Linked DNA regions of Neurospora crassa OR74A. The main gene of each other region encodes a partner of the protein of the gene in region 3 in a complex. Links are inferred from orthologs where the notes say so. Each region holds a gene or a part of one and is shown on either strand. Other genes may lie near its edges. The genes, in order: NCU06768, NCU04171, NCU04336, NCU02804, NCU07852, NCU06469 and NCU07057.

Evidence for each region.
Region 1: NCU04336 (region 3) and NCU06768 share a complex: the UniProt entries of both Schizosaccharomyces pombe proteins name them as parts of the mitochondrial large ribosomal subunit. The link is inferred for Neurospora crassa OR74A from reciprocal best matches to the Schizosaccharomyces pombe genes mrpl19 and mrpl16.
Region 2: NCU04336 (region 3) and NCU04171 share a complex: the UniProt entries of both Schizosaccharomyces pombe proteins name them as parts of the mitochondrial large ribosomal subunit. The link is inferred for Neurospora crassa OR74A from reciprocal best matches to the Schizosaccharomyces pombe genes mrpl19 and mrpl7.
Region 4: NCU04336 (region 3) and NCU02804 share a complex: the UniProt entries of both Schizosaccharomyces pombe proteins name them as parts of the mitochondrial large ribosomal subunit. The link is inferred for Neurospora crassa OR74A from reciprocal best matches to the Schizosaccharomyces pombe genes mrpl19 and mrpl25.
Region 5: NCU04336 (region 3) and NCU07852 share a complex: the UniProt entries of both Schizosaccharomyces pombe proteins name them as parts of the mitochondrial large ribosomal subunit. The link is inferred for Neurospora crassa OR74A from reciprocal best matches to the Schizosaccharomyces pombe genes mrpl19 and mrpl23.
Region 6: NCU04336 (region 3) and NCU06469 share a complex: the UniProt entries of both Schizosaccharomyces pombe proteins name them as parts of the mitochondrial large ribosomal subunit. The link is inferred for Neurospora crassa OR74A from reciprocal best matches to the Schizosaccharomyces pombe genes mrpl19 and mrpl12.
Region 7: NCU04336 (region 3) and NCU07057 share a complex: the UniProt entries of both Schizosaccharomyces pombe proteins name them as parts of the mitochondrial large ribosomal subunit. The link is inferred for Neurospora crassa OR74A from reciprocal best matches to the Schizosaccharomyces pombe genes mrpl19 and mrpl27.

Annotation. Positions count from the first base shown.
Region 1 is NC_026502.1:2,003,013-2,006,886, forward strand, and holds NCU06768 (mitochondrial 54S ribosomal protein YmL47), read right to left. Parts: upstream 2,189-3,874; 5' UTR 1,953-2,188; coding exon 1,512-1,952; intron 1,428-1,511; coding exon 1,286-1,427; intron 1,217-1,285; coding exon 1,050-1,216; 3' UTR 915-1,049; downstream 1-914. Other genes in the region: NCU06769 (activator 1 38 kDa subunit), read right to left, coding at 1-354, 415-501; NCU06767 (replication factor C subunit 1), read left to right, coding at 2,669-2,774, 2,837-2,882, 2,939-2,980, 3,044-3,874. UniProt on the Schizosaccharomyces pombe protein: Component of the mitochondrial ribosome (mitoribosome), a dedicated translation machinery responsible for the synthesis of mitochondrial genome-encoded proteins, including at least some of the essential transmembrane subunits of the mitochondrial respiratory chain.
Region 2 is NC_026505.1:5,079,292-5,083,667, reverse strand, and holds NCU04171 (mitochondrial 54S ribosomal protein YmL7/YmL5), read right to left. Parts: upstream 3,045-4,376; 5' UTR 2,770-3,044; coding exon 2,513-2,769; intron 2,377-2,512; coding exon 1,692-2,376; intron 1,489-1,691; coding exon 1,372-1,488; 3' UTR 1,040-1,371; downstream 1-1,039. Other genes in the region: NCU04172 (hsp70-like protein), read left to right, coding at 1-738; NCU04170 (hypothetical protein), read right to left, coding at 3,437-4,376. UniProt on the Schizosaccharomyces pombe protein: Component of the mitochondrial ribosome (mitoribosome), a dedicated translation machinery responsible for the synthesis of mitochondrial genome-encoded proteins, including at least some of the essential transmembrane subunits of the mitochondrial respiratory chain.
Region 3 is NC_026504.1:3,733,041-3,736,726, forward strand, and holds NCU04336 (mitochondrial 54S ribosomal protein YmL19), read left to right. Parts: upstream 1-1,652; 5' UTR 1,653-1,821; coding exon 1,822-1,962; intron 1,963-2,030; coding exon 2,031-2,366; 3' UTR 2,367-2,901; downstream 2,902-3,686. Other genes in the region: NCU04337 (survival factor 1), read right to left, coding at 1-68, 151-366, 431-453. UniProt on the Schizosaccharomyces pombe protein: Component of the mitochondrial ribosome (mitoribosome), a dedicated translation machinery responsible for the synthesis of mitochondrial genome-encoded proteins, including at least some of the essential transmembrane subunits of the mitochondrial respiratory chain.
Region 4 is NC_026501.1:9,064,141-9,067,792, reverse strand, and holds NCU02804 (mitochondrial 60S ribosomal protein L25), read left to right. Parts: upstream 1-1,810; 5' UTR 1,811-2,002; coding exon 2,003-2,397; intron 2,398-2,485; coding exon 2,486-2,546; intron 2,547-2,607; coding exon 2,608-2,643; 3' UTR 2,644-2,816; downstream 2,817-3,652. Other genes in the region: NCU02803 (pre-mRNA-splicing ATP-dependent RNA helicase prp-28), read right to left, coding at 1-1,497; NCU02805 (diphthamide biosynthesis protein 4), read left to right, coding at 3,235-3,652. UniProt on the Schizosaccharomyces pombe protein: Component of the mitochondrial ribosome (mitoribosome), a dedicated translation machinery responsible for the synthesis of mitochondrial genome-encoded proteins, including at least some of the essential transmembrane subunits of the mitochondrial respiratory chain.
Region 5 is NC_026503.1:1,107,647-1,111,862, forward strand, and holds NCU07852 (mitochondrial 54S ribosomal protein YmL23), read left to right. Parts: upstream 1-1,534; 5' UTR 1,535-1,862; coding exon 1,863-1,883; intron 1,884-2,027; coding exon 2,028-2,558; 3' UTR 2,559-3,173; downstream 3,174-4,216. Other genes in the region: NCU07851 (superoxide dismutase 1 copper chaperone), read right to left, coding at 1-522, 684-875; NCU07853 (uricase), read right to left, coding at 3,396-3,502, 3,587-4,216. UniProt on the Schizosaccharomyces pombe protein: Component of the mitochondrial ribosome (mitoribosome), a dedicated translation machinery responsible for the synthesis of mitochondrial genome-encoded proteins, including at least some of the essential transmembrane subunits of the mitochondrial respiratory chain.
Region 6 is NC_026503.1:1,524,231-1,528,384, forward strand, and holds NCU06469 (putative mitochondrial 54S ribosomal protein MNP1), read left to right. Parts: upstream 1-1,913; 5' UTR 1,914-2,131; coding exon 2,132-2,332; intron 2,333-2,599; coding exon 2,600-2,929; 3' UTR 2,930-3,463; downstream 3,464-4,154. Other genes in the region: NCU06468 (midasin), read right to left, coding at 1-1,328; NCU06470 (hypothetical protein), read right to left, coding at 3,673-4,154. UniProt on the Schizosaccharomyces pombe protein: Component of the mitochondrial ribosome (mitoribosome), a dedicated translation machinery responsible for the synthesis of mitochondrial genome-encoded proteins, including at least some of the essential transmembrane subunits of the mitochondrial respiratory chain.
Region 7 is NC_026506.1:333,575-337,556, forward strand, and holds NCU07057 (hypothetical protein), read left to right. Parts: upstream 1-1,528; 5' UTR 1,529-1,809; coding exon 1,810-1,998; intron 1,999-2,138; coding exon 2,139-2,261; 3' UTR 2,262-3,034; downstream 3,035-3,982. Other genes in the region: NCU07058 (small nucleolar ribonucleoprotein complex subunit Utp14), read right to left, coding at 1-1,101; NCU17062 (hypothetical protein), read left to right, coding at 3,328-3,982. UniProt on the Schizosaccharomyces pombe protein: Component of the mitochondrial ribosome (mitoribosome), a dedicated translation machinery responsible for the synthesis of mitochondrial genome-encoded proteins, including at least some of the essential transmembrane subunits of the mitochondrial respiratory chain.

The DNA.
Region 1 (3,874 bases), on a different chromosome or scaffold from region 3:
GGCGGCCTGGGCGTCTCTGGTGAGGTGGTCGGCCTCGTTGATGACCACCACCTTGAACCTCTGCTTCGCCGACAGATCTACTTGTTGTGTTTGCGCCACCTCCTTGAGGAGGTCCTGGACCACTACTCGGTCGTAGTTTCCGACATCGGACGGGGTGATTTCGAGGTGGTACACTGATGCGACAATGTTGAACTCGAGCTTGCGGTTGCTGCTGGTTTGGAAAACACGGGCGTCGATCTTGATCTTCTCTACACCTGGGCCGTACAACTCCTTGAGGGTAGCAACAATTCGCGTCTTCTTTCCTGCGCCGGAAGGACCGTAGACGAGGAGGTGGGGAAAGTCACCGCTTTGCGCCTAGGAGTGTCATCAGCGGGGAGCTTCTTTTGCACGAGGGGAACAAGAGGGTCTACTTACAAGTGACCGTAACCTCTCCGACAATTCGGTATGATAGGTGAGGGCATCGAGAGACCTCGGCCTGTGCTTGTCAACAATAAGCGCCATCGTGGTGTGGTGATATTGTGGAGAGGAAAATGGGTTGACAACGGAAGGGGAAAGAAATGCTGGATTGGAGGTGCATGGGAGACGCGTCGAGTTGACGCGCCGTCCAGAAAATCAATTAACAGATGACGGGGGATGGCCGCACGGACCATATCACCCGCTTATACAGGCCCTGGGGTAGACAGTTGCCCACTTTCGCCATCAGTATTCTAGGCAGCTATCTTGAATCTCTTTGAGTTTTGCAACGTCCGATGCTGGATATTGGATCTTCCATGAACCGACATCTAGTATAGGGCCCATTTCATGGCATGGTTGAAAGGGTATATCTAGGAAGCCAGCATTGCTTGTTGACTCGATGTGGTGCTCTGGCCCATCCAGGTAAACTGGTAGTAGCTTACGGACACATTCTCAGAGCATTGAAATCAAAGTGGTGATGCTTGTTACGTCGTCATAATAATCATGAAATGGCCATGGCAACACTCTTTTGCACATTGGCCCTTCTGTTGTTCTACATAGTGTTACAATTAGAATAGGCTCAGGGTTCTCCACCTCTACGAAGGAGGAGCAGCAGTGCTTGATGTGCTCGCAGCACTCTGGGTAATCTCTGGCATCAACAACTTCTTCCTTGGGTTCTTGAGGTCCTCCACCGTGAGGCCATCCTCCAACTTGGTGATGCCAACCACTGGTGGGTCACCCTTCTTCACAAACTCGTACAGACCTATGACTTGTCAGTTTTCTACTCTTCTCAACCTCGCAAAGATTTTGGGCCAGCATGTGCTGTTATTACCTGGAAGCTTGTGTCCGGCCAAACGGAAGGCATCACGGATGACCTGTTCGTGCAATTGCCCCCTGATCTCGAAGATAATCTGGTTGACGGCAACTCTGGTCGCCCAGTGGTCGAACGAACCCTTACCCTTACCCATACGCATCTACACCGGAAATGCATGTGAGCCTCATGTCCGCTAACAGTCGGCATCCGGCCTTCCCGGGCTGTGGGTTGTTCAGCTGCTCACCTCGTTACCGCTGACGTACACACCGACGTTACAAGCAACGCGCTTGTACAGGCGGTACTTCTGACCACGCAACCTCTGCTTGATGGTGTCCTCGGCGAGCTTGAGCTGTTGGGCGCTAATTCTGCGGTGGTGATCGCGCATGCGCAGGCCGTAATCTCCCCAAACCACTGTTGTTCCTTTGGTCGAACCACCCGTCGGCACTCTGGGCCTTCCCTTCATCATCTTCTTCTTTCTGTTGAGGTTGGGCTCGAGCCACGAACCAGCCTGGATGGCGGTCGCAGAGAATAGGCGGACATGGGAGGCGACGGAAACGGGGGTCGGCGCAATGGGGCGACGGACGGCAGAGGTTGCGAGCGACGCGGCACGGAAGGGAGTCGCCGACGAGGATATCCTAAGGCCCTGGAAGGCGCTGAGGAGCGCCGAGGAAGCGTTGTGCTTCATTGTGTTGAAGGTTTGGGTGTGGACCGGACCGGGGAGGGGACGAGTGGTGGACGGAGGACGGAGGGAGGGTCCAATTGGATGCCGGTCGCCGACGACGATTGATACGGATTCCCCGAAGCAGCGCGCGCACAGAGACGGGGACCGGGCAGAGCGACTACCTGCAATGGAAGGTGCTGCGGGCGCGGACGGGGCACGGACGGCACTTCCAAAAATTGTGACCCACCAAAAAGTGTCGGGTGCCGGCCGCGACATGGAATCTGCCGGACACAGCAGACAAGCGGGACCTGGGACTCATTCATTGACTCCTCACAAGAAATACAGCTGCGTGGGCGTAGCTCAAGGCAGCAAGTTGGCGAATTCTTGTAGGACAAGGCCCCACCAGTCGCGACAGGGGAGCAGAGCCCGGACACAGACTCGCGTCATCCACTTCACCTTCGCGTCTCACTCATCATTCAATTGTTACTTCCGTCTTTACAAGGGACAAGAGTCGACCCGTTAGCTCTTTACCCTTCTAGGCCTTTTGTTCAACAACACTTGTTAGGCAGAAGGACAGCTGCCTGGACAACTCAGACACCAAGAACAAAAGTCCCTACTTCCCAACTCCGCCACTATAAGAAGATGCTTGCTGGTGTCATCTGATTGTTACATCTTCCCAACCTTTTGACACATTCAATTTATCATTTTGTATCCAGTGATTTCTTCTCACATACTCCATCATGCCTGCCGACATTCGCTCGTTTTTTGGTCCAAAAGGTGGCGCGCCGCCTGCTAAGCCGGCAACACCAGCACCCAAGAAGGAAGAGGAGAAGAAGACCCGGGGTAGTAAGCTTGAACCATGATCGCCATCACAAGCTTATCACGTTATATTAACAATCTTGTCGCAGGGCCAAGAAAGGTTGTTGAGGACAGCGAAGATGACGAGGTTGTTGAGTAAGCTTAGTGAAAAGCATCTCTTCTCAGAACTAGCATCTAACCAGCATGTGTAGAGTCAAAAAGCCAACCAAGGCTGCGCCAAAGAAGAAAGTAGCGTAAGTGTTTATGAAACACCTCTCAGTTCCATGTCATCCTATTCCTGCTGACAGACTATCTAGGGAACCCGTAAAAGGAGTTGAAACCGATGCTGCCAAGTACTTTGCAACCTCAAAAACAAAAACTGCTGCTGCGTCCCAGTCAACACCGAAAAAGACACCCGCAAAACCCGAGCCAGAAGAACCAAAAGTAGCGCTTCGAACAAGCCCGCGGAAGAAAGCCACCCCCGCTGCCAAAGCACCAGAGCCTCCCAAGACTACTACAAAGAAGACCTCGACTACGAAGAAACCCACGACGGCCTACAAGAGTTACGACAAGGATGACGATGGCGATGCCTACATGGATGATGAGCACGATGCTGGAGAGGACATATTTGCGGCGGAATTCAAGGGTGGCAGCAAGAGGAAAAAGGACGACGACTATGCCGAGGAGGACAGTGACGAGGAGCTCCTCCCCAAGCCCAAGCGAATGGCATCTCGCGCCAAAACAGCAGCCGTAGCCGAGTCTGACGACGAAGACGTCAAGCCTGGACCCAGCAAGCCGAACAAGAAATCTACAACTACTACGGCAGGGAAGCGGAAATCCTCGGTTGTTATAAGTGACGAGGAAGACGAAGAGGAAGAAGAAGTCAAGCCAGCGAAGAAGAAGGGAGCCCCCGCTAAGCCCCGTGCGCCAAGGGCAAAGAAGGATGCGGCGGTTGAAGAACCCGAGGACGTCAAGAAGATCCTCGACAATATTCCCACAATTGAAGCACCAGATGCTCCTCCCAAAGACCCCAACGTCAAGTTTGACTGGAAGACCAAGGCCGCCGGAGCTGGCAATGCGGGTCCACCCCCCATGGCGGGCACTGCCGACATTCCTGAAGGTGAAATTGATTGTCTGGCGGGTAAGAC
Region 2 (4,376 bases), on a different chromosome or scaffold from region 3:
GACAAGAATCTCAACCAGCTCCTAAAATGGAGCATTGAAGCTCAAACCGCCGCCAACGCCGGCCAATCTTACCACTCCAACGGCGCCCCCACCCCTAATAACAACTCCGGCCCTGCCACCGGCACCGGCGCCGTGGCCACCTCTCCGGCTCCCCAGGTCACCGGCTCCGGCCCCCGCCCCGTCGATCCCGAAGTCCTCGCCTCCCTCTTCGGCGGTCCCTCCGAAGCAGAGCTCATGAAAGCCGCCATGGAAGTGATCACCGACCCTTCCCCCGAGACCACGCGCGAAAACAAGTTGATCGCCTTTGACAACTTCGAGCAGCTGATTGAGAACCTGGACAACGCAAACCTTCTTGAGGAACTGTCTCTCTGGTCCCCCTTGATTTCCTTGCTGGATCACGAGGACGAGGATATGAGGTACCACGCTGCCTGGTGCCTGGGCACGGCGGTGCAAAACAACCAAAAGACGCAGGAACGGCTGTTGGCCATGGGCGGCGTGCCCAAGTTGGTGGACCTGGCGATGAAGGAGGGCGAGTCGGAGAAGGTGAGGCGCAAGGCTACGTATGCGCTTAGCAGTGCGGTGAGGAATTATCAGCCGGCTATGGATGTCGCGGCGGACGAGATGCATAAGCGCGGTCATGAGGTTTTGGTGAACAACGGGACCAAGGTGGATGCGGCGGATATGGATAAAGTGGATGAGGTTATTGACGTTTTGAGAAACAAGGCCAAGTCTGCTTAGAGCTGTCTAAGGGGATGAGTAGGTTGAGGGTTTGGGGTTCATGATGGGGATGACCAAATGAAAGGAAAATGGGACTGAAAAGATATGGTTTTGGTTTTGGCATTGGAAAAGGCGTTTGGTTTTTTTTGTTTGGAGATCCTTGGTTGATCAAGACGAATGGGTTCTGTTGTCATAATATCTTGACCTGTTCTGTGCAAAGCTAGACTGGGATATGGATATGTGGTTCTAGACTTGGGAGTTGTTTATGAAGCAGATACCCTTGACGATGTCCGTTTACACAATCCAGTTCACGCAATGATGACACCCTTCCAATTGTTTTACGCATTTGTGATTCTACTTCTTTGATCTTTGACCGTCAGACCCGGTGGTATTGTTCTTCTTCCGTTTCCTTTCCACTTCGTCTATAAGCCTCCTCCTCGTGATGTTGTTACAAAAGGTATATATACACCCAACATACATCGTCCTTATGTGGTTAGTGTATTCGTATTGTACAAGTTTCACACATCTCCTCATCCTCCTCAATTGTCATCCAACAACTATCATGATGCGAGATGTTGTTCATCATCTTCTCATCCCCCTTCCTTGAATCTCGTCCCTTTCTCAACCTCTCACGATCAACAGCCCGTTTGGCGCTTAGTTGCTGTAGAAAGGAACGCCGAGGGACTGGAGCAGAAGCTTAGCCTGCCTGTCGGAGGTGGCTGTCGTCTTGATGGCGATGTGGCAACCGGGAATCATCTTGGCGGGGTACATCTGGAGAGGATAGAAAGTCAGTAATCTGTCGTCAAGTCCAAGAAAACAAGAAGACGAAGCAGACGGTAGGGCCAAAGCCGGAGCCAGAGCCGGAACCAGAACCCTCCCTACTGTAGCTTCGGCTCCGGCTCCAACTCCAAACTTTTGTTCTCCTCCGTCCTCTCTTTCTCTTCCACCCATCATTTCCCAAGAAACAAACTCACATCATAGTTGCATTCCACCTCGGGAAAAAGCTGAACATCCTCCGGATTCAAACCAAACTGCACATTACCGCTTCCATCACCCGTACTCGCCGGCACGCCCTTCCAATCCTTGATCCGGGGGAGAACCAAATGGATCAACCGATCCATAAACTCCCACGCCGCGTTTCCGTAAATCGTCGTCTTGCAACCAGCCGGTTTGTTCGCCTGCAGCTGCCACTGCACCACGTTGTTCTTGGACCTCGTCATCTCCGGCATCGTCCCCGTCATGGCCAGCAGCACCGCCCGGGCCACAATCAACAAGTCCGGGTTCTTGAGACCGAGCGGCACGAAGGTGGAGACGGTGATTTCCTTGATCTCGGGGATGTTGCGGAACGAAATGTCGCGCTCGCGAATGGGAAGCTCGGGGGCACCGCGGGGCGCGCGGCGGGCACGGTTGGCGAAGTAGGGCGAGTCGCCCTCCCAGGCACGCAAGCGCTCCGTGGGTTCCTTTTTGGGCGTTCCCGGGGGTGTGTGGATGTAGGCCAGGGTCATGAGGTCCGAGGCCATGACGGTGCGGAAGGTTTCCTTGAGACGAGGCATGTTGAAGGGGCCGGGAACGAAGTCGCGGGCGATAGGGTCGGAGGAGGGAGGGGATTGGATGGGGTGGAGGGGGCCGCGGTTGTACTTGGGGGGGTGGTATTGGTATCTGTTCGGTAGGAGGTGAGGCATGGTGGTTAGCAACGTTTAAACATCTTGTTTATGGTTTGCGTATATGTATGTATATATACATGTGTGTGGCTAGCTATGTAAACCACGGGACGGAGGGAGAGTGTATAACGCACCTGCTGCTAGGCAACCTCGCCTTCCTGTCGGCCGCGCGCTTCCATGGCCTGAACTCCTTCTTGTCCTCTTCGCTGGGGATGGGAGCGTCCAATGCCGACCGTGTCTCAAGCTCGGCGAGGTCGGGAATGTTGGATTTGGGAGTAGCGGCAGCAGCGCCGGCACCAGTTTGTGTCGAGGCGCATCTTCGGACGGCGAACTGAGCAGAGAAAGGCTGAAGAGCGCGAGCCGATCGCGAGACCCCGCGGAGACTGGCCATGGTGAATTAGGATACCGAAAAAAGAAACCGGCGTTCGGGCGGACGCTCTGGTTTCGGAATTGGCGACCGTGGAGGTTGTCGCTTCGGAGTGGTGGTTGAGGAAGAGGGTCCGGCGCACGCGGGAAATCGGGGCCGAAGGTCTGTCACGGACGGGCAGAGGGCAGCGAGGTTCCTTCTCCGGCAAGCGCAAGGTCCTGGTCCCGCGTCGAGGCTCGAAGAGGTGCCGGTCCCCGTTGTGCCGCCCGCCGGAATTTTTTTTGGAGCCTCTGCGGAGTCTCGAACCGGGGCCAATGCTTGGCAGCACGGGCCAAAGCTGGATGAGTTTGGGGTTAGGGATATGAGTCTGTTACCCCTGAAAGCGTTCCTGGACCCCTGAGAATGCATCTGATGTGGTTGATGAACTCTAAATAAAGCATGGATTTGGAAATATATCACTATGTTTGTACCAATATAAGCGATTCAGATCAGGATTCCAACACATTAAGACGACATGTATGATTAGATTAGGAGACACTTGTATATGCGTACGCTTCCTTTGCTCGAAGTATCCTCCGAGCCACTAATAATTACATCATTCCGCGCACACCTTATCAGCATGTCTAGCAATAACAACAAAGTATGTAACGGGGAAGAAAGAGAAAACAGAAAAAACATCCAAGTATCATCATCACCGTCCAAGACTACGTCCCCATCGCCTCTCAATATTCTTCCGCCCAGAGCCGCTTCTTCTCACTTGTCCCACACCCCCATCACCATCCCATTTCAACTCATAATCAGACTCCCCATCTTTGCCCAAATTGGGTAACTTCACCTTCACCATCCCCTCGTTTCTCCTTTCTATACTCCTCCTAGCAGGAGAAGTAGTCCCAGCCGGCTGAATACTGTAAAGCAACAACCTTGAGCCAGCACCGCAGAACTCCGTCTTATCACCGACGCAGAACGACCTCTTGCACTCATACAGCTCTGACGCCGCCACCGCCGTGTCCGCGAGCGAATTGCCGCAGTAACACTCCTTGCCGAACTCCACGCCAAAGAGACTGTAGCCCCTCGACTGACAGCGTTCGTGGCACATCTCGACCGTCATGCTCGTGCTGTTGGTGTACGAGTGAGCTTTGAGAATACGAGCCGTTGAGTTGTCGATGAAGCAACCCTGTGGCGTCGCCAAGCGCCCGTTAACCACGGACGGGTTGACGAGCCGGGGCGTCACGTAGTTAGTTTGTCTGAAGACGTCCAGACGAGCGCGGCCACCGCAGCGTGTTGATGGGTCACCGGCGCAGGTGAGATTACAGCCAGTCTGGCCGAGGCTGTAGCCGGGCTTGAACTCGAGACCACAGTAGCATTGGGATTGGAACTCGAGGCCGGCGAGGGGGTAGTTTTGCTGGGCGCAGTAGTTAAGACATTTTTGAATGGTCATGCCGGCGCTGTCGTATAGGTAGGTGCCATTGAGCGCGCGAGCAGTAGGCGCGGCGGTGTTGGAGTCACTGGCACATCCTTGGTAGTCCCAGTTCACAACAGCAGGAATTGTAGGCGAGGCTGAGGCGATGTTCGTGGTGGAAGTAGTGGCAGCAGTGGCGATGGTCGTGGTGGCTTGAGTAGGGGCTGTAGTA
Region 3 (3,686 bases):
AGAGGTGGGGCTTGGATCCATCCAGGGAGAAGACCTTGCAGTTAAACTGGCAAGTCGTGCGGATGCCACTGTTGTGCCATCAGGTCAATACAAGGCCCAAGTTTGCGAGCGCGCCACATTGACGGCGAATCGTGCAATGGGGAATCTTACGCAACGTTAGAGTAGATGACCTGGGCAAAGGCGAGCTGGCCGCTGTCCGTCATGAAGTAGAAGCACTGCGTCTCGACGCAAGTGGACTCCATGGCCTGCCACTTCAGGTCATCCTTGGTGGTTTCGGTATAGGGAGTTGTCTTGGCCTCCTCGGCGACAGACCTGATAGCCTCGGGGCCGTAGATAGGCTCCTTGGTGCCGGCGACATTGGCCAACCTACAAGCGAGTCGTTAGAGGTCTGCGTCCAGCGGATGGTGGGGGTGGTGCTTGGAGTACTCACGCCGCTTGCGCCCACTTGAACATGATGAAAGACTGGGGGGGGGGGGTATAGGGCGAAATGGGAAGAGTATAGATTACAGAAGCAAAAAGTCAAGACAACGAGGCGAAAATGAGTCTAGTTGTGAGAATTTTCCAGGTAGTTTGATGTTCAAGATTAAAGTCATTCACCGCCGTCGAGAAAGATGGGGCAGAGCTGAGATGGCGCCGCGCTCAGATAAAAGCCAATGGAAAACAGAAGGGGCAACCCAGTCTGTCCCAAATCTCCTACAAGTACGTACCTTTGGGCTTCCCCGCGGCCGACTGCCTCTAGCCGTGGCCCTCGATGCGTGGCAGTCGAGCAGCAAAGAAGACTCACTGGCTCTTGAAGGTGCACGTCACTGTTCCGCCCAACTCTCCACATCACCTGAGGACTTGACGATCGATTGGACCCTTTCAGGTTCCTACAGCGGGTCTGCAATCACTTGGAGCGTTCAGGTTTCGCAATGCTGTGTTCCCTTGCAGACTTGCAGCAGCTCGAACGCACCTTTGCGGCAGGGCAGGCGGCAGGCAATGACGGGAATGATCAATCCAAGTCACGCCCGGTACCCGTACTACGCCCCCACTTTTTTGGGACTCGCAAATTCGCACCCACCTAAGTGGGTGCTTACGAATAACACGGCCACACCACTAAAACGGCCACCAGGGTTAGAGGTGCGAATCAGATAAACGATACCAAAATAGTGAACGCCCACAACGTATTTCAACAACTAATTGAGAATAAAGAAAGAGTTAGAAGATAGTCAGGACAGAGTAATGTATCCGTTCAGCTTTTCATTTTTCAGAAATTTCTATATGTTGGGAAGTTGTGCTTTACCCTACGAATCGAGCCTCAAAACTGCACCTCTAACCCTGACCTGGCCGTTTTACTGGTGTGGCCGTAGTACCCGTGAGCACCCACTTTAGGGGGTGCGAGTTCTACGAGGTCCAAAAAAGTGGGGGCGTAGTACGGGTAGGAGAGCAATTGGGGACGAGCGAGGCCGGGACTTTCAGTTGACGGGCGGGCTCGGCGTCGATGCTGTACTAGTACTACTGTAAGCCACTAACGGCACTGAAAAGCGGCGATAAGGGACTGATTGCGGCACTTTACACTAAATAGTGTGTGGCTGAGGCTTTGAAGAAGTGGCTGACGTGACCCTGGCTGCAACGGTTGCCGGCCCGGCGCCCTGATTTTTTTTTGGGCCCAGCTTGAGGTGCCGCGCGCGGCGTCGCCGCCGCCGTTGCTGCCGCCGTCGCGAACGAGGATACCCGACCGACCTCGAAAGTGTAACACGCGACTGCAGACGCGCCGAATTACCGTTCCGTTCTCCTCCCAACTTAATTTCCCTCGAGGGTATCTGCAGTAGAGTCGCCAGAATGTCCAAGGCCGCAAAAGGTGGTGCTGGTGGTGTTGAGCAGGTGGTGAAGCTCATTGTCGGCGCCGGTCAGGCCAGCCCGAGTCCCCCGGTCGGTCCGGCCCTTGGTTCCAAGGGCATCAAGTCCATGGACTTTTGCAAGGTCGGTTTGCATGCGCCCACCCATATAATATCCACAACACAAGCTGACATGCGCTCAAATCTGTATAGGAGTTCAACGCCAGAACCGCCCATATCAACACCGGTACCCCTATGCCCGTCCGTGTTACCGTCAGGCCCGACCGCTCGTTCCACTTCGATGTCCGCACCCCTCACACATCATGGCTTCTGCTCAACGCCGCCGAGGCCCCGATAGGCAAGGGCGGCAAGAGAAAGGGCGCCAGCAACCCCGGCAAGGAGGTTGTCGGCACCGTCAGCCTCAAACATGTCTACGAGATTGCCAAGATCAAGCAGTCCGAGCTCCGTCTATCCGGCCTGCCCCTCGAGGGCCTCTGCAGGGCGGTCATCTACCAGGCCAGGTCGATCGGTATCAACGTTATCCCCTGAAAGAGGCTATACGCTGAAAGACATTATACGGGCTTGGGGGCACGAAGGCGTTACGGTTGTTTCTTTTAGGTGGATAGACCACGGCATTGTTACCAATATTGGATGCGGACTATAGCCATAGCTTGTGGCTCTGTGTATCTTTGCTTGTATCATTATTGTATGGCAAAATCTCAAAATGCACAGCGGTGCCTGGAGCTGTTGGTTGGTCCACGGAGTATGATCGTTTGGGAAAGGCTTCCACAAAAGGGTGCTGATGGCAGGCATGGCATATATGGGCATTTGCCGGTTTGCGTTTGCATTGCCTCAACGTACTCCAGCTTCGTCAACCTTGGCTCACATAGCTTGTGTTTGTGGAACACGCAGGCGTATGACGAGGATCTGTCTCTGTAGGATTAAGTTTTAAGGTTGGCGGTCACCAAGGTAGACCGCCCAACGGGTATTATGCTTACCTGAATGTAGGTGAGATGTGTTTATAATGCTTTTGGCTAAGCTGACTGCAAGACAAATCACACACATATATAAAAAGGGGTTTTGTAAACAAACATCCGCTTCGCCCAAGTGCTTATCCACCAGCCCACTTCTTACCACTCAGGCGAAGCCCCGGTATCATGTCGCCATGGTGTTCATCTCATGCTTTCAATACTAACGAGATGAAATGGATGATTGTTTAATATCCTACACGTGTGCAACGATTGCAATTACATTCAATGGCTTCTAGAACCATTCGGGCAATTACCTCCCGCAGCATGGCGGGGTATCGACATGGGTTACACCGAACCGAGCGATAAGGACCTGGTTTTCGGCGGTAGAGATCGACATAGAAAGCTGTTTACCATATCCGTTGGCAGTCCATCGAAAAAAAAGGTTGGGTGACATCAGGACAGTCACTGGAGACAAAGCTGACCACCAACACCACCTAGACTTGTCATCCATGCCTTTGCGGTGCCTCGGTCTTTCGGACACGGCGGCGCTCTAAAAGGCCGCTTTGACGGTGGTCGGGGCTGCTGCGGGATTCATACTTGACTCTCTGTTGTTCAGTTGAAACGCAGGGCAACGAGGATGACAGCCAAGGACGCAAGGCACAACCGGCTGAGGTGTTCACTCGAGTCATTGGGTGAACTGCCCAGTGTTTGAGGAACAACACGGGGCGGCGGAAACAGAGATGTGATGGAATGGATGTCCTGGCAGGAATTACGACTGCGTCAATGCAGCTGGTCATTGGCGTTTTAGAGGGGGAGGCGCTGCAATCGCTCGGCATCTTTCAAAGCTGGAAAAGGAAGTCGGACAAGATGGAAGAGGACATCGATGGACAGGATCAGG
Region 4 (3,652 bases), on a different chromosome or scaffold from region 3:
GTATCGATCTTTGCCGTCCACGTACCGGCTCATCAGTTGTGGATTCTCCGCATCGTCTGTATCTGGCTTTTCGTTGGTTACCGGCATGGCATCCAAGATCTTGGTAAGCGGCTCCTCGAAACCTTGGTCAATCATACGATCGGCTTCATCCATGATTGTGTAGCAGCACTGAGAGAAGACGAGCAAACGTCTTTCAAGGCAGTCCACGAGACGACCAGGTGTGGCGACAATAATCTCGGCACCGTTCCGTAGAGCAAACGCCTGCTCTTCGAGCGAGTGACCACCCACAATACTGACGACTGTAAATCCGAGAGGTGTAGCAAACTTCTTGGCCTCGCTCTCAATCTGTTGCACCAGTTCTCTTGTTGGCGCCAGAATCAGGGCATATGGACCGTCGTTCTTGTTGTACTCGGTCAGGGGTGGTAGTTCGGAGATGTAAACCAGCAGAGGCAGCAAGAAAGCTGCAGTTTTACCGGAACCCGTCACGGCCACACCGATCAAGTCGCGTGCTTGAAGGGCAATGGGAATGGCAGCTCTCTGAATCGGCGTCGGCTCGTCGTAACCCACGTTCTTGACAATGTCGAGCAGACGCCTAGGCAGCGTGGACTCTTCCCAACTGCGCATAGGGTTGGGAATGGCACCGCCCTTGGTGGCAATGCCAAAGTTTTCCTTGAAGATACGCCAATCGCGCTCCTTCATGTCCTCCAGCTTCTTCTCGGACCAGTGCTTGCCCAGGTTCTTGCGCTGTTCCATCTCCTTGATCCGTCTGTGTTGTTCCAGGTATTGCCTGGCGCGCTCCTCGCCCGTCTCGGGATCGCCACGACGGATGGCTTCGGCCTTCCGCATCACCATCTCTTCCGTCATCTCGTAACCACCAAGTCGGACCAGAGGCTCTTGACGCTCTGCGTAGATGGGGTCGAAGGGTCGGCTAGTGTCGTCATCGGCATCCCAGTCAAAGTTGAACTTGTTCGCTGCCGTCCTCCTCCTCTTCTTCTTGGCCGAGAATGTGGACTGATTTACTACTGGACCCATGTAGCGGGCGCGCAGCTCTGCCTCGTCGTTCCTCTCCATCTTGGCTCGCTTCTCTTCGTCATCGTTGGGTGCGCCGCGTTTTGCGCCCCGTTGGTTTCTGTCTCGGTTATCTCTGTTGTCGCGATTGTCTCTGTAGTCCCGACCGTTGCTCATGCCGTTGGGTCCCCGGTCATCGTCGTACCGCATCGCCTTGGGTCCGGTTGGGATGTTTCGTTGAGGGTTGTGGTTGTGATGACTCTGGATACCGTCCATGCGGTTGCCGTTATGATTTGTTCCATTTGGTTGAGGCTTGGCTTCTTCCTTGCGCTTGCGTTCCTCTTCTTCCTTTGCCTTTTTCTCGGCTTCTAGCCTCTCTCGTTCCTTTTTGGGGATGAATCTTGGTTTCGCGGCGGCGGCTTCTTCCTCCTTCTTCTTGCGCAGCAGTGCTGCCAGGTCTGGGGGTTCCCGTCTTGATGTCGTGCTCATCGTGGTAGTGTATGGAGTTGGTGATGAATCGAAGGAAGAGACTGGTCGGAGGCGACAGTGTTGACAATAAACGTGTTGATTTCCAAGCAGTGCTGGGTTCCGGAATGGGGTTGTTGTTATGGCGAACTTGGGTGGTTCTGGGGTGCAGCAGCGGTGCAGCACAGTTCTCGACCCGCCCAAAAGTTATGTCACGGTTCAAGGTCGGTGATCCCTGTCGTGCCTGTTCAAGGGTCTCCACATGCCCCGCCTTACGCGGGGGGTTAAAGAGGTCGGGTTAGGGCTCAAAGTGTAACTTCCGGCTGTCGCTATGTACCGTTTCGCGACCTGGAACTTTTTCGCAGTTGGGGTCCCGTCGGCGGCCGATTGATCGCAAAGTTCCCCGTTCCGGTTCGTTCGAGCAATCCGGACCCTGTCACCTACGACAAAAACAAACAAACAAACAACCCCCCCCCCCACCTCGACCGACACAGTACCGCCAGCAGGCCGGTCGATCGACATCTTCACCATGGCGGCCACGGTGAAGCAGCACGTCCAGCTGGCGCTTTCGCTCCCACCGCGGTTGCGCACCTTCTTGGCCCGGTACCCGCCGGCCTCGATCCTGCCCGCCGGCGCCGACCCCGAGACGCACAAGACGCCCTACCAGGAGGAGAGCCCGAACCCGTTCATGCCCACCAAGCACCCAATCACCGGAAAGTGGCACAACCCCAAGTACTCGCTCAGGCGACAGGCCGAGCTCGTCAAGCTGGCCCAGGAACACGGCGTCGAGGAGCTGCTGCCCTTCACCCGCAAGCTCAACGAGGAGAAGCTACGGAAGAGAGTCGAGCTCGGTCTCCGTGTCAAGGGTACCGGTGTTGGAGAGAAGGTCAAGGGTCACAAGCACGAAAGGACACTGGTTGCCAAGTACGTTGTCGATCCTCGGCTGCTGCTGCTGCTGCTGCTGCTGGTTGGGAGGAAGTGGTGGTTTGCTGACGGTGGATTTCGCACACAGGATGGAGAAGAGGAGAGAGGCCATGCTGGCTATGCCCGACCTTATCCGGGAATGGAAAAAGGTAAGGATTGCGCCCAAACTCTTGCGGTTTGCACTCTTGTTAACCATGGGCTTCGCTACAGGTCGGCAAGAGGAACTGGACCAAGTTCCCCAAATAAGCGATCGGTTGTTGTCGCTTGTCGGGAAGATTACAACGAGAGTCACTGCCATGTCCATAGACTGTATCATCACCAACAATGTACAACAAATTTCAAGCCATTTGGAAGGGGATTGCCATCAATGTGGTTCTGTTTCCCGGTTGTTGACTGAACGTCCTCTGGCGTCTTATAAGACGGAGTTCCCCACTGTGGTTGGAGGCCGAGACGAGGTAATGTGTCTAACGGTGCAGTAAAATTTCCCCCCCGAATTTGTTTCTCTGAACAACTCACTTCACGATACCAGGCACACAACTAAGACTCAAACCACCACGTGAGAACCGACACATCACACATCCTCTTTTTTTTGCCTATTCACATTTCCTACTGTATACAGCAACATAACAAGGGCAGCGAGCGCAAAGAGACACGTGATTGCGGGATACAAACTTTTCTCTCGAAAGCTGCTCGACGCAAACCACCAACCTTTCACCACTTACACGTCGATACATTTCAACACCAAACCGGTCTCACAACCATACCATTTTATACCCGGGGCCGCACTACCAAACACCACATTGAACACCAAACCGCAAAACCACCAACACATCCAAGATGTCCCAACCAACCTTCTACGAAATCCTCTCCCTCTCACCCACCACCTCCGACCTCACCCCCGCCTCGATCAAACAAGCCTACCGCCGCGCCCTCCTCACCCACCACCCCGACAAGTCTTCCTCTAACTTCTCCTCCTCTACCTCCAACAGCCACTCCAACAGCCACCCCAAAGGACATCACCCCCCAAAAACACGCTACACAATCGACCAAATCTCCCTCGCATACACCACCCTCTCCTCCCCCACTCTACGGACCCAATACGACGCCGCCCTTCGCTCTTCTTCATCTTCTTCTTCTTCTTGCTTCACTACTACTAGGAAAGAAGAAGACGACGACTTCCAAACAGGCATCGACACCATCGACCTAGACGACATGGTTTTCGTACCACACGAGACCTCGTCCTCCGCTGGTATTA
Region 5 (4,216 bases), on a different chromosome or scaffold from region 3:
CGTTCCCAATACGCCGCGCGGGGCGTTAGGGTCTCCAGAGATCTGCGCCTTGGTGTCGGCCGTCAGCGTAGCAGTGCCGGACCACACCGGGCCGGCCGACTCGACACCCCGCGCAAGATCGCCGAACTCGCGGATCGTAGCGCGGTAAGTACCCGGCGCGATGCCGCGCAGCGTGAGGTCGACGAGCGTGGTCGAGTTGTTCACCTGCACCATGCGCGCCAGGCCGCGGACCATGCGGTCCGAGGCTCCCGGGGCGGGCGTGATCTTGTCTAGGGTGGGCTTGTGGTAAGTCTCGAGGATGCTGACGGCCGCGCCTTGAGAGTCGCCGGAACCGCGCAGGATGGCGTCACGGCCCGTGGACTGGATGGCGTTGACGATGGCGGAAGGCGCGGCCGTGCCTTCTATCGTGAGCAGCTGGTCCTTCAGGTTGGCCTCCACTTTGTTGATTCCGGGGAGCTTGTAGAGTGCACCGGAGACGTCGTTCACGCAGCTTTCGCAGTGCATGGGCACGGCGAAGAGAGTCTGTGAAATGAGTTAGTATGATGTGCCTCTGGAAGTATGTCAAGGTGAGTCAGATATGTGAGACAGGCTTGGACCCTTTATCTAAAGAAAAGGAAGGGCTTGGACCGAAGCTCATATGTAGGCATATATGAAAATGAGGCTGTAAAAGGGTATAAACAAACCTTGAAGGGGGTTGTGATGGAAGCCATGTTGCCGGCTATCTTCGGGATTGATGATTTGGGAGCAGCCGGGGATGACTGTGACTGAAAATAGTTCCTATGTTGTTGGCGTTGTTGCCAAAGGTATGCGCCTCCAAAACCTGCTAAAGCTAGACTAGAAATACTTAGGATTTGTCTGGCCGTGTACGGTGGCATCGGTTTCAGGCACTAAGAGGTAGCAAAGACAATACTGAGGACAGTATAGAAGTGGTGGTGTGAGAAGCAACACCAACGTGAGACGATGGATTTGTATAGAAGGCGATGGAGGAGAGCCCCACGTTCGGCGAAGGAGGGGACGACTAGGTACAATTAATAACGTTTTGGCTCCAGTCTACGGATGCTTAAGAGACGGGGTAAATGCGACTCTTGTGCTGAGATTCCTCATTGTTTCTCGACAAGAGAGTGCATGAAGTCACCTCACTGGAGTGCGAAATGTCGTTTTCCCATCTTCACTGTAAGACGGCAGGAAGGTAGATGTCGGCCTGCCAAAATGTTGATTTCAAAGCGACGGCACCTTTCTGGGACCACTTTTTGCGGGCGACCAACTGGGGCTCCGCTGTGTCCGGCTCCTCGATCGGCCCAAGCCAGGGCAATCCTGCTCCCCGAAAGCGTGTGATATGTACCGGGAAAGGAAGTGCAGGCTTTGGTACATGGGACATCAGTAAAAGAGAGCTCTAAGTGCGCCGAGTTGGTGTTTGTTAGTGCTTTCCTCAATTACACACTAAGACTTGCGGACCACCGTAGCCACCCCGCCAACCGCCAGCGGGCCGTCGTGCCCCAATCGTACGTGGAAATTTTCCGGCAAGAAAAGTGATTGCAGCTTTTGGGCTTGGCAGGCTCTGCTGCTGCCCTTCTGCAGGAGCTCCATTCTGCTTCCCGTGATACCGGACCACATTTGATACCCGTTCGCCGCGACAAGCCCCGGACTTTCTCGCGCCTGCCGAACCCGCCGTCTCGAACACTCCGGAGCCCGCCCGATCCCGTGTCATTCAATTGACCCGGACGATAACACATAGAGGTTCACTTACCACCAGTCGATGAGGGACTCGTTCCCACTGGTTTTCATACCTGCCTTCTCCACCTTAATCCTCTCTTGAACACCATAGTATACGACCTACATCACCACCGCGCAACACCGTCAACATGTCGCAAACAGTCGGAGCTGTAAGTTTCTTCCTGTTCGGACACAACTGTCCCATAATTTCGTCGTGTTTCTTACAATTTTGGCACTTGCTCGCCCTCCCGCCACCACCACCACCACCTCCACCACCCGTCACTAACCACCGCCGTCTTGCGACGAACGTGTAGACCCGACTAGCCTACTCCCGTGTCTGGCACCACATCTCCGCCGTCACCCCTCACCCCACCCTCTCGACCATCAAGGCTCCTTCCGAGGCCATCACTCCCCCTTCTCTCGGTCGCCTCGCCTCGCGCATTGCCACCATCCTGATGGGCAAGCACAAGCCGATCTGGGATCCCTCCACCGACTGCGGCGACTACGTCGTGGTGACCAACTGCGCGGGTTTGTACACGACGGGCCACAAGAAGTGGCGCAAGACGTACTACCGCCACAACACCCGGCCCGGTTCGCTACAGGCCATCACCATGGATGCGCTGATGGAGAAGCACGGCGGCGCCGAGGTGCTGCGCAAGGCCGTCAGCGGCATGCTTCCCAAGAACAGGCTGCGCGACAAGAGACTGGCGAGGCTCAAGGCGTTTGAGGGTGATGCGCACCCGTACAAGGAGAACTTGGTGCGATTTGGCGGTAAGGTGGTGGGCGCTCCAGGTTGGGAGGAGGCTGTCAAGGCTATCCGGGAGGCGGACATGGAGAGGTTATGAGCGACCATGGCTTTGAGGTGTGAAGGTCTGGTTGAAGGCGCTGGAGCTGGCTATCTACTCATGGAAGAGTGTCAGAGAAACGGGAGAGAAAGAGATGTAGGGACGAATCTACATCGAGCCGTTACGAACCATCTAGCCGACGAAGACTGAGAACTCTGTCAACTGTGAGGAAGATTGTGTGGACAACCACCTCGTTGGGGCGAGAAATCTCTCTCGTGTGTTCTTGTGTCTGTTACAGCCCACTTGGCCGTGTGATTCACGGGCAATGCCGCCAGTGTCAGTCTGTATATTACATGGGAAGCCGGTTCATGAGCCCAGCGCGCAACGGACAGTGTACGAACTTGGGTTAGAAAAAGGGGGCCTCTCATTGTACAAATATATCACTCAACAAGATACCATGATTACGACTCATGAGAGCTGTTTAGACTCATTGATTGTTTGATCTGATAAGCGATGAGCAGATCCTCATGTCCAACACGCTGAAGGCCCGCGAAGGCAAAAAGTCAGCCTCACCGATTTCACGGCATATTTTTTCACTTGGTAATTCGAGAGTGCAGCTAGCAGTGCTTTTCGGATGCTTGCTTGTTCATAATAGGAAGTTTATTTGATTACCCCTGAAAATTAGCGCCAGTCAAGATGTCCATAGCCTCCGTCTCATGATGATCCGTTGCATCAAGGTATCATCATCTTTCCACCTTCAAAACGTACGCCTGCCCGCCAACCAACCCCTCGGAACGTGAGGGGGAATGCAAAAAAAAAGAAGAAAAAAAAATGGTGATATCATAAAAGAAAGCCAAAGAAACATGTGTGACGTTTTAAAAACAAAGTTCAACAGTCTTACGAGCGAGAGACCTCGCATTTGATGAGACCGTTGGGACCAGACTGGGGAGCGTACACCTCGGCGTCCTTGCCGGTGTTCTGGAGGCCCTTGTGCCAACTGAGATCTGTTTTTTTTTTTTGGGTGTTAGTGTAAATTTATCTGGACCTATTTTTTTTTTTTTTGGTGGATTTGCGAAAGGGGTACTCACCAACTTCAAAGTAGTGCTTGTTGGGTAGCGAATAGTTGGTCTTCTCCGTCTCGGGTACCGCATCCAAGATCTGCTCGCACATCTTGTACATAGTGTTCTGTACCGACGCCGACTCGTCTTCCGCAAATGTCTTGAGCGTGATGTTGCGGGCAGCCTCCCACGCAGCGTCGAAGCGTTCAACACCGTCCTGAACGGCCGCCAGGTTGGCACACTTCTTCCAAGTCCATCCGGCATCCACGTCGGTGGAGAGAATGCGGTCCCACGTCTCCTTGAGAGTGGTGAACTCGTCACGGACGAAGCCGTGAAAGGCGGATCCAGTGCTCTTGAGCACCTGGAGGCCGACGATGCCGCTCTTGATGGTGATGCCGTCCCGAGTGACAGTGGCCTCGACGTTGCGAGTCTCCTGGCCGTCGCGCAGGAAGCTGTGGGGGTGGGGCTGGCCGTCAATGACCATGCGCGTCCAGCGGTGGACGGTCACGTCAATGTGGGCGGCGCTGATGTGGGCATACTTGTCGAGAAAGTGTTGGCCTAGGATACTGGCGTACAGCTCGGGAGGGTTGACAGGGTGCTCCTTGGCCTTGATGTAGATGGTGTTCTTGATGGAGTCGGTAGCGACAATAACGCTGTTAT
Region 6 (4,154 bases), on a different chromosome or scaffold from region 3:
CCGAGCAGCGTCCGGACAGTAGCAAATATGCGGAAGCCTTCGGTGGCCTGTATGGTCTCGCCGCGTCCAGGAATTAGCAGCTCTCCTCGCTCAATGAGAGGCAGCAATGTGCTCATGACTTCTGTTGGCGCGCGATCGAGATCCTCAATCAAGACCCATCTTCCCTCCTTGACGGCAGTGGTCAACACACCTGGGCGCCACGAGAAGGAACCGGGTTTCGAGTCGGTGGTGTATAGCCCAAGCAGCATCTTGGCGTCGGTTTGCTCGTTCAGGTGTAGTGTCACTAGTTGCTTCTGCTTGCCTAACTCGCGCGCAATCTCGTGGACTAGGGAGGTCTTGCCGGAACCGGACAGGCCGTGGAGGAGGATAGGCCCGGGTCGTTGCAGGCACCCGGTGAGGTTCTCGAGGTTCTCAACAGTCGTCGGGGTAAGTGCGAGGGTGGTGGGAGCAGTCACAGGGCCGAGGGGACGCGGGAGGACTGTCTTTCCATATTTGACAACTAGAGGAGTGAGGTTCTGTTCTGGGATGTTTGTGATATTCAATTCGACAACCGCATCGTCAACCGCACTAGTTTGTTGGGATTTACTGCGAGAGCTCTGAATGTCTTCACGTCTAGAATCCTCGTGTAGGCTGAGGAACGCATAGTCGGCTTCGCGCCCGTCGAGCTCTGCGACAAGGCTGGTATCTTTGGGTATGTGCTTTTCGAGGAGGGCTTCGATCTTGACATCGGCGGCATTATGAAGCTGGCAGAAGATTCGGACGGCAAGATATCGGACGATGGGGTTCTCGTGTGCGAACAGGGTCTGTATTTGGGATGGCTTTGACAGGCCGGCGTAGGTGCGCTTGTCAAAGTTGTTGAGCCTCCAGAGGGCTAGGAGGACAATTGGGAGGTCATCTGGGCGGATCGAAGCTAGGTCAAGGGAATCGAGAGGTTTAAGTTTTGAAGAAGCATCATTGTCGTTGCTTTTGTCGTTGTGGTTACCACCATTAACACCACCAAAAGATCCTCCTCGAAGATGCGACACGAGGAAGACGGACAGCGACGGGGCGAAGGGCAAGATCCTTGCGAAAGCGGCAAGGACTCGCGTATCGAGTTTTGGAGAAGACAGAATCCATCTGGCGCAAATATCGGCAAAAACAGACTCGAAATGGGTAAAGATGCGGTCGGTGGCTGTCGAGACAAGAGCGGCGCTGGCGATCGCATCGAGGAATTTGGTCGATTGGTGATCCTGGATTATGAGCAGCAACTCTGGCGGCAAGAGGTCCAAGGTGGTCGCATCGCTAAGGAGCGACGCCCTCTGCTGGCTCACATCGATCACGGCCATCATGGCCAGGGAAAAGCGACGGGACGGGTTGGCGTGGATGTCGTCGTCGTCGTCGTCGTCGTCGTTGTGAAAAACGGTGATGTTTTTCTTAGTCTCTTTTTTTTTTTTATCTCTAACTTTTTTGCCCATTGAACTTCGCTTTCTCCCGTTTGGAACTTTTTCCCACATGAAATTCCTTATCGCGCTGAACGATAGTGCGGGGTACATGCTACTTAGCGCTAGGCGCATGTGCTGGGGTGTACTGCATAGTACTCTACATAGTGTAGTGTAAGTCGGCTGCGGCAGGCAAGGGAGCCATCTTCTTCAAAAGTGGAACCTAGTTCCGGGTGGGACGAACAGCCCAGCGGCAGCAGGGGCGCGCTTGGGATGACAGGGGCCCATCCTTTAGCGCGTCTTCAGTGGACTTCAAGGTACAGAGGTACCTAATCCCCAGACTCGCGCGGGGCAGGCAGCTTGGGTTTTCCCCTCCAGCTGCAGCTCCGGGTCAGCCAGCCGTCATAGATCCAACTTGCACGCCCAAACCACCAAGCTGCCAACTGCCAGTAGTGGGTCCCAGATTTCGCAGCACCCGGGAGCGCGCGACAACGTCCCCAAAAAAATATCTCCGTTTAGTTGTTGTACGGTTCGGTTGTACGATCCTCGAAGTCGACGTCGACGGCAAGCCTCCCTCACCAAAAAAAGAGAACCCCAATCCGACCGCCCCCGCGCGCCCTCTCTCTTTCCTTCCTCCGGTCCGAGTCCGACTCCCCTCTCTCCATCCATCCATCCACACAACCCACCACCACCAACACACACACATACCAACAATGTCTCTCTCGGTTCGCTTCGCCGCGCAATGCGCCGCCCGCCAGCTCCGCGCATCCACCCGGGCCTCGAGCTCCCTCCTCGTCCAGAAGCGCTTCGAGTCCACCGCCGCCCCTGCCGCCAACCCCAAGATCGCCGCCATTGTTGACCAGATCAGCACCCTGACTCTCCTCGAGACCTCGGAGCTTGTGTCCAGCCTCAAGGTACGCCCGATTTAAATAAAGCACGAGAAGAAGAACAACCGGGGCCGGGAACCGGGACACACAAAACCCGAATCGGAGCATGTTTCAAGGTTTCCGGATGTTTTTGCGCCCCGGACCCGACCCGACCCGACCCGGCCCGGCCCCGGACAGACAGACAGACAGACAGACCTATCTTATACTACCTAGACTCTCAAGTCGCACACATGTACATGGGCACCAACACTAACACTCACTCTCTCTCTCTCTCTCTTCTTTTACACAAAACAGTCCCGCCTCAACATCCCCGATCTCCCCGTCGGTGGTTTCGCCGCTGCCGCCCCCGCCGCTGCCCCCGCCGCCGCTCCCGCTGAGGAGGAGGAGGCCGCCCCTGCCGCTGCCGAGAAGACGCTGTTCACGCTCAAGCTCGAGAAGTTCGACGCCGCCGCCAAGCCCAAGGTCATCAAGGAGGTCAAGAACCTGCTCGGCCTCTCCCTAGTAGAGTCCAAGAAGTTCGTCGAGAGCGCGCCCAAGGTCATGAAGGAGTCGGTACCAAAGGAGGATGCCGAGAAGATTGTCGCCGCCATGAAGGAGCTCGGCGCCACCGTCACCATGGACTAAACTGCTGCTTCTGCCTAGTAAAAGGGTTGGTTGCTATGGTTATGGTCTCTGTGTGGTGGTGTGGTGGGTGGAGGCGCCGTGTGTGTGTGTGTGTATGTGTGTTGTTGTTTTGTAGGATGGTCACGTCCCTCCCCCGCAGAAAAAGAACCAAACGAGGAGATCTTTTCCTGACACAGATGCCGGAAAGATATTTTCTTTTTTTTTTCCTATAATGATGATCATGACGGGACAGAGTTGGAAGAAATGCCAGGGCCTTGGGAAACACATAAAGGGGGATTCTCGGTCTCATCTACATTATATCCTCATGGGGAAAGGGGGGGAGTGGCGGACACAGATTCCTCACAACAACATATACCACTTGTACGTGTACAAAAAGCAATGAAACATGTAACATTATATCATACTACGAGAACTGGGATGGATAGAAGAACGGGTTGTCAGCGAAAACATGAGAGTCTGTCGACGATATTACCGTGAGCAGATGCCGCTTCTGAGTTAATAGTATCTCCCCACTTTCGCTTATGGATACCGAAGATAACTAAACAGCCAAAAACATAAACGCCATCCCATGCATACCCCATGTATCGGTAACTTCCTTGTTTCTTATTCTCAACCTCCTTCTCCTTGCCTCCTTCAATTTTCTTCTTTCTATCGCACTCCTACCAGCGCGCCTCTTGTATCCACCACCCGTGTCATTCCTACTGGTCTTGAATTCCCAGGTTCTCTTCTCCTCCGTCGGTTTCCTAACCCGAAGTCATCTCCACATCTTTATCTTGCTTCTCCTGTTGCTCCTTTTCCAGCTGCTGCAGCTGCTTCCTCCTCGCCATCTCGGCAATCTCCCCACTAATCGACATTGGCTTTTCCTTCATGTTATTCCCATTCATACCATCATCCCTCTCACCCCCGTTACTGGTAGAGGTAGTATGCCCACACCCCGCACCACCACTCCCTCCAATCCCTCCAATCCCCGCCTGCAAACTCCTCTCCCACTCCTCCTGCTCTTCCCATATCGCCCTCATGTCGTCATCCCCCAACTCTGACGTCTCCTCCAGCAATCTATCCAGCTCGTCTCCGCTCGGCACCGCCCAGATGTTCTCCCTCAGCCTCTTATGCCGCTCACGATCCTCCTCGATACGTTGCTCAACTTGTTTCTTGTCGAGACGAGGGGCGGCAGTGTTGACGCCTCCGCCGCGTTTGCTCAAATTGCTATGCTGTTGGTTGCTAG
Region 7 (3,982 bases), on a different chromosome or scaffold from region 3:
AAGGAGTTCTTGACTGTCGAGGCCGGCGTCGTGGGCATTTTGCGCGAGGGGGAAAACCAGGTGATCCGCACGGCGGTTGTGCTTGACTGTGTCGATCCAGCGCTCGAGCGTCTCGGAGGTCTTTTCGTAGGCGGCGGAGCGGAGGAGCTTGTCTTGTTGCCTCTTTGCGAGGGGGATGTCGAGCTTCTTGGATTGCCCAGGCTTGGCGGCCTTTTCCTCCTTGTTCATGAGCTTGAGAGACTTCTTCATGTGGGGGTCCTGGACGCCAAGGAGGCCGAGATCTGAGAGACTGAGTTTGTTTGTTGGTTTCGAGCCTGATTGCTCCTCGTCGTCGTTGTCGTCGCCCGCAAACCCGGAGATCATCTTTTGGAGGTCGTCGAGCTTGGAAGGGTCTTCCATATCGTCGTCACTGTCTTCGCTTTCGCTCGATTCGCTGTCCGCGTCGTCTTCCGATCCTGACTCCTCTTCGCCCTCCTCCTCCTCGCTGCTTTCATACTGATCCAGTGCTGTGGCGAGATCGATGGCGTCGGAACCGAGCGACTCCAAGTCATCGTCCTCATCTTCGTCCTCTTCCTCCTCATCACTGTCGTTTCCACCCTTCTTCGCCTTCTTGCCCTTCTTGTTGGAGCTGCTCCCGCTGAAGGCATAGCCATCGAACTTTTCCTCGTCGCTCTCACCAAAGGCCTCATCAGAGTCGAGTTCGGAATCTTCGTCATCAGCGCCTACACCAACGTGCCACTCCTCGCCATCGCTGTCCTCGCCACCGTCGGAGAAGCCTTCGAAATCGTCGCTGTTTTTGGCCTTCTTCTTTTGTGGCCTGGCGTCCTCGAGATCTTCCTCATCCTCGTCTCCGTCCTCATCGTCTTCGTCGTCGCCATCTCGTTGTCTCTTCTGGGGGCGCTCTTCGGGCTCGTCGAGGTCTCGTGTGCGGACGCCCTTGGCTTTCTTTTGGGGGACTTGTTCGGCGGCAATAGCGAAGGCGTCGAGGACGTTGTTTCTGGATTTCCTATCGGCAGTCTTGTTGTTGACTCTGTGCTTGGGACGCCCTCCGCCGCCCGACTTGGGCATTAGAGGCCTGCCGTGGGCTTGACGGCCGGGCATTTTGCTGGTATTTGAGAATTGACTGATTGGAAGTCGGAAGGTAATTCAGTCAATTAAGTTCGAGGTCGAGCAAGCAAAAATTGGGTGATGAGATTGTCGACGAAGTCCAGTGGTTGGATGGAATGAATCGATGGATGTCAATGTCCAACTTTTGCCTGCACGGGTCCTGGAGGTCGAAGTGGTCAGGTCCCTTCAACGGCAACTCCCACCAAGCCTTCAACTTTCTGCCAGTGAACAAGCTCCCCCGAAACTTTTTCTGCCGCCTCTGTAATCGATAATTTTCGGGCGGTGAGGGCGCAACACCCACCCATTTTGCGGGGCCGCAGCAGGCTACAGGGGTACCTGTTTCTCCCAGCCTCACGTCATTGGCTCAATTGAGCTCCAAACTTCTGAAATGGCTCCACCTCAACCCGGCGCGGCCCCGGACGTCTTTGCGATTTCTCGATTCCAACCCCGTCGCCCGTCGCCCGTTGCCCGTCGCCGTCCGTGTTGTCCAGCGCCAGTCCGAGTCCGAGTCCGAGTCCCGTCTCCGTTCCTGTCGCGTGCGCCGGATCTTCAACACTCTAAAGCGGATCCCGTCTCCGTCCCACTTGCGCCCACCTCAACCACCCTCACCACAGCGAGGTGCTTCCACCACCCAGATCACCGACCACAAAAAGCAATTCTCCGTCGTCGTTGCCCCGCAAAGCGCAATCCTCCTAGCCCACCATGCAGCCCACTCGCATCCTCCAAGGTCTCAAGTACCGCAAGTTGCGCCTGACCACCAAGGACGTCAACAAGGGTTTCTACAAGGGTAACCGCACCGGTTCCATGGGTACGCACACCAGCTACGGTACCTACAAGATCGACTACACCAAGGTCCGCACCTATGTGTGCCCGGACCTGACCGGTTTCAAGGTGGGTGGTCCTCTATTTCCGTCCGGGTTTGGGGTTGGAATGGGATGTGTTGGGGGATCTGGTGCTAGGGGAGGGACCGAGAATGGAGGACAAAAGAGAATAAAAAAGAATTATGCTAACAAGATCCAACAACAACAAAGCTCACCCCCTTCGTCTCCAAGACCATCCGCCCCGTCCACGACCAGTTCCCCGGCGACAAGCTCGGCCCCAAGAACCCCGCCACTTACCTTGCTCGCTGGAAGTCGGAGAACGGTCTCGACTAAACGGTCGTCATTTTTTCAAGGAGGGAGGAGGAGGACATTACGATACCAGACCACGGCGAGGAAATGGAGCGAGGCTCACTCAACTATCAAACTACCAAACGCAATATATACCCAAGTTCTGATTACATTCCGAAAGCCTGCCGACACAGACCCGTTCGAAGGACCACGAGCCACTCTCCACTGTACATTATATGACCTGACCACCAGGAATCAACCACCTAGCAGCTCCACTGTTCTGGGTCATATGTGAAATTGGAACATGTCCAGGTTCTCTGCCTTTGGAGTCGCCACGCTGCTACCTAGGCTGATGGTCTCGACATTCCTACCATTGAGATACAGCCTGATAGCTAACCATACGTATTCAAAGAACACTCGCCTTCAGAGCTGCCTACGATACATCTCCCCTTTCGGATTGGTTCTTTGAATTTTGATGTCACGATGATCTCGCCGTCACATTTCTTTTCTTCTAGAAGAGACAAGGCCGATTTATATGACTATACCCAAAGGTGTCCAATGGTCCCTGTCCGAGATTCAAGGGGGTCTTGTTTCAGTTGTTAGATTATTGAGGGAGCGAGATCGGGGATTTTAATAGGGTTAGGGCTTAGGTCACTCTTGTTGATTGTTGCCTAACCTCTATTTGCCCTTTGCCTGGTCGCCTTTGAGAAGGTGCGTTGTGTGCCTAGCAATGAGGGGTATTTCTACCTAGAGGTAGTTTCGCGGGTTTCTTCCTTTCCTTACCTTCAGTTACTTTATTCTAAGCAACCACCGCCTCCCAGAAGAACCTTTCTCTGGCATGAAGCAATTCACCTTCGGCTCAAGTTTCACGACATACAAAGGGATCACCGAATTCAAACGAGCGAATCCCGTCGAGAAAGTTCGCCCCAACTCGCCAGTGCGCCCCATCAATCCCATTTGTTTTGCATGAACTTGTCTATGGTCTTTCTTTCCCTTGAATCTCCTGGCCACCCAGCTCTTCCTGAAGCTGCAAGCCTCTCCTCATTCACTTGATACCTTGACATGTCATCTGCCCATCCCACAACAGACCTAATCATAATCAACCAACACCATGAAACCATCTGCCCACTTCAACCATGGACCGATCGACAATGCCTTGGCAGAGGAACCCGTCATGAAGTCTCGCTACCCCCCCAGGCAGCTTAACAAGCTCTGTGATGGTTGCCAAGCAGTGTTCCCTACGACTGGGCCGTGGTTCTGGGACCTGGAAGACGCCGTGCTTGCCGACGAAGATGATTGGCACCTGCGGGATTTCAGCATTTGTGACCTTCACGAGTCGGCAGGGGCGGGCTGTCACTTGTGCAGGGTCTTTCTGGACTCCCTACTTCCACCCGATATGATCGTGGGAAACCGTCAAGGATACGTTGAGTGGTACGAGGCTAACCAAAAAATCCGACTCCGTTGCTCACTAGACAAGGACTGGAAGAATGTAGACTTGCCCATGAAGTTGACGATTCTCAGTAACTATCAGGAGCAATCCACCTTGGGTGAAAGGTTCGCGACTTCCTCTGTTCAGACACTACGATTCCAGTCTGTCCGCCCAGCCTTGTCGGGACAGTGCACCAACGGACCAGCCTGGATAGCGGATATAAGGGACTTCCTGGGAAGCTCATCGGGGTATGGCCCTCTCACGATATCCCAACCGACATCAACCACTACCTTCGGCTCGTCCTCAATCGAGCAAGTTCGGAAGTGGTCGACGCAAT